2 linked regions of the Oryctolagus cuniculus genome follow. The protein of the gene in region 2 binds, or shares a complex with, the protein of the main gene of each other region. Links are inferred from orthologs where the notes say so. Each region holds a gene or a part of one and is shown on either strand. Other genes may lie near its edges.

Region 1 (4,033 bases), on a different chromosome or scaffold from region 2:
AAGAGATTTCGCGGGTTGGAGCTGAAAGGACGTGGGGTAGGAATTGCTGTTGTGCCGTTAGTAGTTATGCGATCTGCAGACACGTGCCCTTAAGACTTGGGATCCTCATCCGAAGAATAGAATTGATCGTGTACTTAGGTCATAGCTTTGGCAGGAAGATGATGTGGAGAGGATGTGAGACAGTGATGCCTCTTAGGGAGTTGACCCTGGAAAGATGCCAGCTGAAGTCGAGGGGTGCGCATCCGCAGAGGCACACGGGTACTTGCCGCCTCCTGACGTCGGAGGGGTGTGTCTTAAAACTGTTCAGATCGGTTTAAAAGAGCACTTGAGAATCTTCAGATTGGATGATAATACCTATGTTTAAAAAGGAGTAAGTAGAAGTGATTGTGGCCATAGAAGCTGTGGGTTTGAATTTGGGTTTCAAGTTTCTATAGTAGATACAGAAAGGTTAGTAAATTGTAGCATAAAATGTAGAAAAAAGATACAGACTTGGATAATCATTTCATCTAGGAGCCTTGGATGATACTGGGTATCTAGATTTTAGTAATGTTAATTTTGTCAAAATGTTTGAGTTATAAGTATTTACTTTGGGAAATCACTTCGTAATAGTAAAAGTGATTGTAGGGGCTGGCATTGTGGCGCAGCAGGTTAAATGGCTCCCTGCAACACCAGTATCCCATATGGGCACTGGTTTAAGTCCTGGTTGTTCCAATTTTATCTGGCTTCCTCTCATATGCCTGAGAAGGCAGTGGAAGATGGCCCAAGTGCCTGGACCCATATCACTCACAAAGGAGATCCGGATGAAGTTCCTGGATTCTACATGGCCCCGGCCCAGCCCCAGTCCTTAGCAGCTATTTGGGGAATGAAAAGGCAGATGGAAGATATCTCTGTTTCTCCTTCTCTCTCTGTAACTCTGCCTTTCAAATCAATAAAGTAAATCTTAAAATCATCTACCTTCTAAAAAAAAAAGTGATTGTGATATGTGTTTGGGCGACAGCATGTGTAGTTTTGCTATAAAGAGATGTGGAGAAATGGGACATAAAAGGTAAGTGGTGTAGAATCCAGAAGACTTTTCTTTATAAATGAAAAGGTACTCCAAGATATTGGGAGAGAAGTATTAACAGGGAAGGAAAAATAATGTGGGTTGTTGAGAATATAGTGCTTAATTAGAAAAGGGTGGCATCCATTCTGAGTTGTAAGTGTTAGCTTTGAAACTACCGGAAGAAAAGGGGAGTGCTCTGTCTGTAAACACTAAATGTGACAGGTTTGTTTTGTAGTTCTTCTGTGAATCTTTGGTTTGTTTTTGTAGGTGCTTGATCTTCCACAATGGGTGAGCCACAGCAAGTGAGTGCACTTCCTCCACCTCCTATGCAGTACATCAAGGAATACACTGATGAAAATATTCAGGAAGGTCTAGCTCCCAAGCCACCCCCTCCAATCAAAGACAGTTATATGATGTTTGGCAACCAGTTCCAATGTGATGATCTTATTATCCGCCCTTTGGAAAGTCAGGGCATCGAAAGGCTTCATCCTATGCAATTTGATCACAAGAAAGAACTGAGGAAACTCAATATGTCTATCCTTATTAATTTCTTGGACCTTTTAGATATCTTGATAAGGAGCCCTGGGAGTATAAAACGAGAAGAGAAGCTGGAAGATCTTAAGCTGCTTTTTGTCCATGTGCATCATCTCATAAATGAATACAGACCCCACCAAGCAAGAGAGACCTTGAGAGTTATGATGGAAGTCCAGAAACGACAGAGGCTTGAAACAGCCGAGAGGTTTCAGAAGCATCTGGAGCGAGTGATTGAGATGATTCAGAATTGCTTGGCCTCTTTGCCTGATGATTTACCCCACTCAGAAGCAGGAATAAAAGTAAAAACTGAACCAATGGATGCTGATGATAGCAACAATTGTACTGGACAGAGTGAGCAGCAAAGAGAAAATTCAGGTCATCGAAGGGACCAGATTATAGAAAAAGATGCTGCCTTGTGTGTCCTAATTGATGAAATGAATGAAAGACCGTGACTCATGTTAGTTTTCTTTTTTCCCTTTTGGTAAATAGTATAATATTACTGGTTTATTTTCTTTTGGGCAGTCTTAAAATGAATAACTAAAAGTTTAAATGGCCTTTTTCTTGACTCTCCAGCTTTTTCACTTACGTAATGCCATAGGCAGCAATTTCAGTATATAACAAGTGTAGGCAAACAGGGACCCGTAAATTAAGAATAGTGACCTGAAAAAGAAAATGTTTGCTGCAGATGTGTGGGGCATTCTTTTTTTTGGAGTTGGAGTAAAAGTTTGACAGTGTCCTTGGTAATAGCAAACTTTCATCCTTAAAAAGTAAATTTGTCATTTGCTTTAAGAATGAGGGATAGATACTCTAAAATGTGAAATTATGTAATATTTAAAAATTTACCTAATCTGCATAAGGTAGTATAGCATTTTAAAAGAGACCCATTTGTTATGAAACAAAAACTTTATTTTTCCTTGTGATTCTTGTAACTCTACTACCTCAGTAGACTCTTTTTCCTTATCTTGAACCTTGGTAGGTCCCATAAATTGGTTTTTCTCAGTCACTTGGGTAGAAAGTCTTTGGTCAGCTTAGTTAGAAATTTTAGATTACAGATTTTAGTAATTAAGAGGATTGAAATTACAGATTTTTAAAAATATTTGTAATTCTTTGAAATTACACATTTTTAAAGCTAAGCTCAGACATGATCAAGGCTGGTAGACTGCAGTGGGAGAAGGGTTTGGTGGGAGCAACTGCTCGATGTCCACCAGTGATTCGCGCTTCTTCTTGCTGAGATATCACTGTTCAGCCAGTGACCACATTTCCCTACTGCCCTATATCTGTGTGAGGCCATGTGACTAAGTTCTGGGAAATGGAGTCTGTGCCCTAAGATTTCTTGCACGATCTTCCATTCTGTTCCCCAGTCGGCTAGGTGTGTGCCCACACCCATGCAAGCCTGGTGACAACAGTTTATAGTAATTTGGTTCTAGAATGTGAAGATTAGGTCCTCTTTTAACTCCATTCTTCCTTCTACAGCTAACTTAATGTGAACAAGAAATAAACTGTCTTGGGTACTGAGATTTTATTTCTGTACTTTCTTTTCTCCTCCCTCCTTCCCCCTCCCGCCCATTGGCCTCATATCAGGATCTTTGCCTGCTACTCTCTGACAGAAGCCAGTGGTTCTCCATTGTCCTTTTGGACCAGCAGCATTAGCATCACTTGGGGATTTGTTAGAAATCAAGCTCCTCTGGCTCCACCCTGGACCTTCTGAACCAGAAACTTGCTGGTGCACAGGGCGTGGCAAGCTTGGTGTTAAGCCTTCCTCCAATTCTGATGCATGCTCAAGATTACCATCTGTAGAGATGGGCCTTTTCCTGGGTGATGTGCTTTTGATTTCTCCCTCATTTCCTGTTTACTAGCATAGGGATTTGCTGCATTAAGGTCTCACCAACTCACTGTAAAATGGTTACAGGCCAATTTCCCTGTGTGAAATATGCATTCTTTGCATTCAGACAGAGGCTGTTTCCAATTAACACTTCTAGCAGACAAGAACTAATTAACAAGTCTCAAATTTAAGGTTTTTTTTTTTTTTTTTTTTTTTTTACCAACTGGAATATGCTTGGTGTAGACCTTGGGACCAGAGACCCCCAAAGGACATTCTGGTTTCCCTTAATTAAATTAAATTTGTTCCACACCTCCTCCCTCATACCTTGGTCAGTGAGCAAGATGGAAATGGCTCTTGAACAACTCAACAACCGTTTCTCTTTTGACTTTTTAAAAAATACATTGCTGTGAGAGGAGTGTTGGGCTGAGGTACAAAACCAATTTGGGACCACTTTGAAAATCCTTGCATGTAAGAAATGAAATCATTTAACATTGTTAAGAGTCACAACAGTTACTTGTAAATTTGTGTGTGTGTGTGTGTGTGTGTGTGCGCATTGAGGGGAGAGGTATTGATGGATTGCAATGCCATAGGTTAGCTTCACTTTAGCCCAGAGCTAATCAAGGAGTTCTGTGCAG
Region 2 (3,987 bases):
CTCACAGAAACCAGAAGGATGCTGCTTTCTAGGGACTCCCTGGGGCGTGGGGAGGAATGAAGCTAGATTTGTTTTATGAGGTGTGAATGTTGCAGGCATGCCAATCTCAACTTTTATTCCAAGTTTTTGTCCCTGCAGAGGTAAGAATTCAAAACAGAGCAATACATACAGAGCACGAGGGAGAAGACGATTTATTGAAAGAGTGAATATACATTCTCGTGTGAGTGTGGGCATCCCTGCATGGAGAGATGCTTGTCATGAGTGGGCCAGAGTTGCCTAGGAGGAGAGAGAGGGCAAGGAGACCAGAGAAGGACCGTAAGTATGCTCCTGAAGCCAAAAAAGCAAAAAAGGAGTGTTTCCACATTTATCAGTCCCTTTTGTGAGGTACTGGGTGGTGCTCTGATAAGTATGCAAACAGCATGGAGTTCAGTGTGAGGCAGTTTCATGGTGCCTTGGCTAGCAACTTACCTTCCACGTGGTCATTATGGTTCCCTTCCTTCCTGATCCCTGATGAGGCAGGTGCATCATGGGAAAGGGGGCACACTGGGTTGACAGGTAAGGGGGAGGAGTTGCCATGCAGGGTTATGCAGAAATTCTGAGAAACTATTCCAGCTCAACTCTTTCTACCTAATCTTCATGCCTAGTTCCCCCATCATTAAAAAGAGTTTTCTAGATGCACAATAGTGTGAACATATTTAACGTCACTGAACTACACACTGAAATAGCTAAAACCGTGACTTTTACGTTTTGTGTATTTTGCTACAATGAAAAAAAATAGGATCACAAATGGTTTTGGTTCCTGTGCTGAAAAGCTTACTGCAGCTTCCAAGAGCCATGCAACAGGAAGGTTAGAACAGCATCATGGGAATGCAGACTGCAGAGACAATCCTGGGGAGACACCAGTCGAGTTTATGAAGAAACGGACATAACAGGTAGGCAAGTAGGTAACTCCCTGAAATGCTCAAAAACCGTTTGGGAGAAGCCTTCCATTGCTGCTTGAAAAACCAGAAGGCCCAGAAGAATCGGACTGAATCGCCCCCTCCAGTCTCACTCCTTGGGCGCTCCCTGGGTATGTAATGGAGAAGCCCGGCTGGTCCAGCAGATGGCGCTAACGCCCATAGTGCGCCTCCAGTCGCCTAGGCGGCGCTCTGGCGGTACCGCTCTTCCCTACGTCTCGGTGACCCTTCCTTCCGCTTCCCGAGCCCGCCTCTTCTCCCACTAGCGCGGAGGTGCGCCTGCGCTGGTTCCTGGCCCTGGGGAGCATGGCGGCGTCTTCGAGTGGTGAGAAGGAGAAGGAACGGCTGGGAGGCAGCTCTGGAGCGGCAGGCGGTAACAGCACGAGAGAGCGGTTGTTATCTGCGCTTGAAGATCTGGAGGTCTTGTCGAGGTAATGGCGCCGGCCTGAGAGCCTGGCTGGGGCTGGGCTGGGGGACTGGCCCCGGAGCCCGCCGCCGCCGGCCCTCTGCGCTCATTCCTGGGTCTCGGCGGGGAGGCCTGAGCTTGGGAGTCCCCGGTGCTTGAGTGTTAAGGATATGGGGTCTGCAGATCTCTGGGACTCTGGGCAACACTTTTTTCTTTGCCGTCAGAGAGAATTTTAGTCATGACAGCCACCCTGGAAGTCCAAGACGGCAAGAGCCAGAGCGAACCTTAAGAGGTCTCGCGTTGGGAGACTGGCACTAATGGGCTGCCCCTTGGGCGCCAAGCACTAGGAGACTGTCGTGAAGGGGAGGCTGGGTGCCGACGCGGAGGAGCCCGGGGTCAGGGAGAGACAGGTGGGTAAACAGTGCTGGTGCGGGGCTCGTTCTTGTCCGAGCAGTGCGTTGCGGGCCCGGGAGTGTAGTCAGGGCAGGCTTTGGTTGGAAAGAATGAATTCATCGGACTCAGCAGGTGGCAGGGAGGTGACATAGTGTGTGCAAACCTTGGAAGTCGGAGGCCCCAGGCCCTGGCGGAGTTGTAAGGTGCTGGGGATGGCCGCAGAGCAGCATGGGAGACGGGATGGGATCTTGTTCTGCAGGCTCTCAGTTTTCACGGTCGTCTTTCAAGTCGGGGCCTTCCTGTCTTCTGTGGTTAACCTGGATCTAAGTTGTGTTGTTTTTGCAGCCTGCCAAAAGTTTCTACTTTCTTTTGTACTTGATATACTTTGTCATTTTATACTGCTGAGCACCATCGTTATTTTAAAAAGCATCTCGCATCATTCTTCTTAAAAAATACTCGATAGCCCGTATAAGCAGAGTCAGGCCCAGTGTCGGGTTTCTGTCAAGGAAAGACCAGATATATGATTATGCTGTGGTGGTCCCTTAGGATTATAATGGAGCTGAAAAATGCCTGCAGCCTCGTGGCCTTGTTGCCCTCTGTGCTCGTGTTTGTGGTGACGCTGGTGTGAATGGGCCCACCTGCTGCCGGGGGCGTGAAAGTGTAGCACATACAGTTACACACAGCCCCTCATTCCTTTTCTTTAAGGTTACTTATTTGAAAGGCAGAGTTACAGAGAGAGGGAGAGAACGGGAGCGAGCTTTTCCATCCACTGGTTCACTCCCCAGATGGCTGCAAAGACCAGGGCTAGGCCAGGCCAAAGCATGGAGCCTGGAACTCTGCCGGGGTCTCCTGCCTGGGTGGCAGGAACACAGTACTTGGGCTGTCTTTCGCTGCTCTCTCGGCACATTAGCAGGAAACTAGATAGGAGGGGTATCTGGGACTTGAACCCGGAGCTCATATGGGATGCCAGTGGTGGCTTCACTGGCTATGCCATGATGCCAGCCCCCGTCCATAATTCTTGATAATAAATGACTGTTACTGATTTATGTATTTACTGTGCAATACTTTTCATTGTTATTTAGAGTTTATTCCTCCTATTACTTAAAATTTAACTGTTAAGCAAAGTGCCACATTCTGCTGGGAGCAGCCTCCTATACCTTGTTTTTGCTGGGAACTGTTGATTGCGTCAGGCCACAGCAGGTGGCCGCTCCTGTCTGGGTTTGTGTAAGTACAGTCACCTCACCGTGCATTTGAGGGATGCCTGACTACTTCCCATGTCACCGCCAGCTGTACTTCGTCAGTGCCATTCCTACTCTATCTCTAGCTGGCTGAATGATTGAGTTGTCTTTCAGCATCTGTCTCAAATGTCACCATTTCCGTAGCCAGCATTCTGTGACAGCAAATGCCGATCTGCTTACACTCAAGATCAGTACTTTGTCTTTGCTGTGAATTTAGCCCTTGCTGTACCATTACTTACCAATGTTAAGTACAACATTTAGTGATGTAATGAAAACCTAAAAACACGCAGACAACAGAAGGTAAATGGCTTATAAGCTTCATCCACTGTTTACATTGTAGTAGGATCACAAACAGGGCACCTGGAATTTTCGGTCAGCCATTGCTCAGTACAGGAAACAAACTCACAGGCACCAGGCAGCTGTCCAGGCTTTGCCTCCAAGTGTTTACAGACGGAGCATGTCCATCTTCGCTGGTTTAGTAGTTTATGGTGGAAAACTTGTCAGTTCCCTCATTAGCCAATCCTCTTAACATCAACATCCACATTATTTCTTAGTTAACAAAAAAAACACACTAGCAAGGTATTTAGTATGATGTTTCAGTTAAATTATTCACGTGTCTGTTCTGTGTGACATCATCTGTGAGACAGCTAACTGAATGCTCATTTAGTTCCTGTTGAGTTCTCACTGTTTGTAGTTGCTCAGCTCCAAGTTACCAACATAAAAGCTGCCTAGCCACTGCTGTTTTTTTTTTATTTTTTTTTTTTTATTTTTTTTTTTATTTTTTTTTTGACAGGCAGAGTGGACAGTGAGAGAGAGACAGAGAGAGAAAGGTCTTCCTTTGCCGTTGGTTCACCCTCCAATGGCCGCCGCTGCAGCCGGCGCACCGCGCTGATCCTGGCAGGAGCCAGGAGCCAGGTGCTTTTCCTGGTCTCCCATGGGGTGCAGGGCCCAAGCACCTGGGCCATCCTCCACTGCACTCCCTGGCCATAGCAGA

The links. Proteins that work in one complex are often made in the same cells at the same time.
Region 1: MED4 (region 2) and MED7 share a complex: the UniProt entries of both Homo sapiens proteins name them as parts of the mediator complex. The link is inferred for Oryctolagus cuniculus from reciprocal best matches to the Homo sapiens genes MED4 and MED7.

The regions. Positions count from the first base shown.
Region 1 is NC_091437.1:44,110,623-44,114,655, reverse strand, and holds the start of MED7 (mediator of RNA polymerase II transcription subunit 7), read left to right. Parts: upstream 1-1,326; coding exon 1,327-2,028; 3' UTR 2,029-2,033; intron 2,034-4,033. UniProt on the Homo sapiens protein: Component of the Mediator complex, a coactivator involved in the regulated transcription of nearly all RNA polymerase II-dependent genes.
Region 2 is NC_091440.1:67,125,657-67,129,643, reverse strand, and holds the start of MED4 (mediator of RNA polymerase II transcription subunit 4), read left to right. Parts: upstream 1-1,181; 5' UTR 1,182-1,262; coding exon 1,263-1,387; intron 1,388-3,987. UniProt on the Homo sapiens protein: Component of the Mediator complex, a coactivator involved in the regulated transcription of nearly all RNA polymerase II-dependent genes.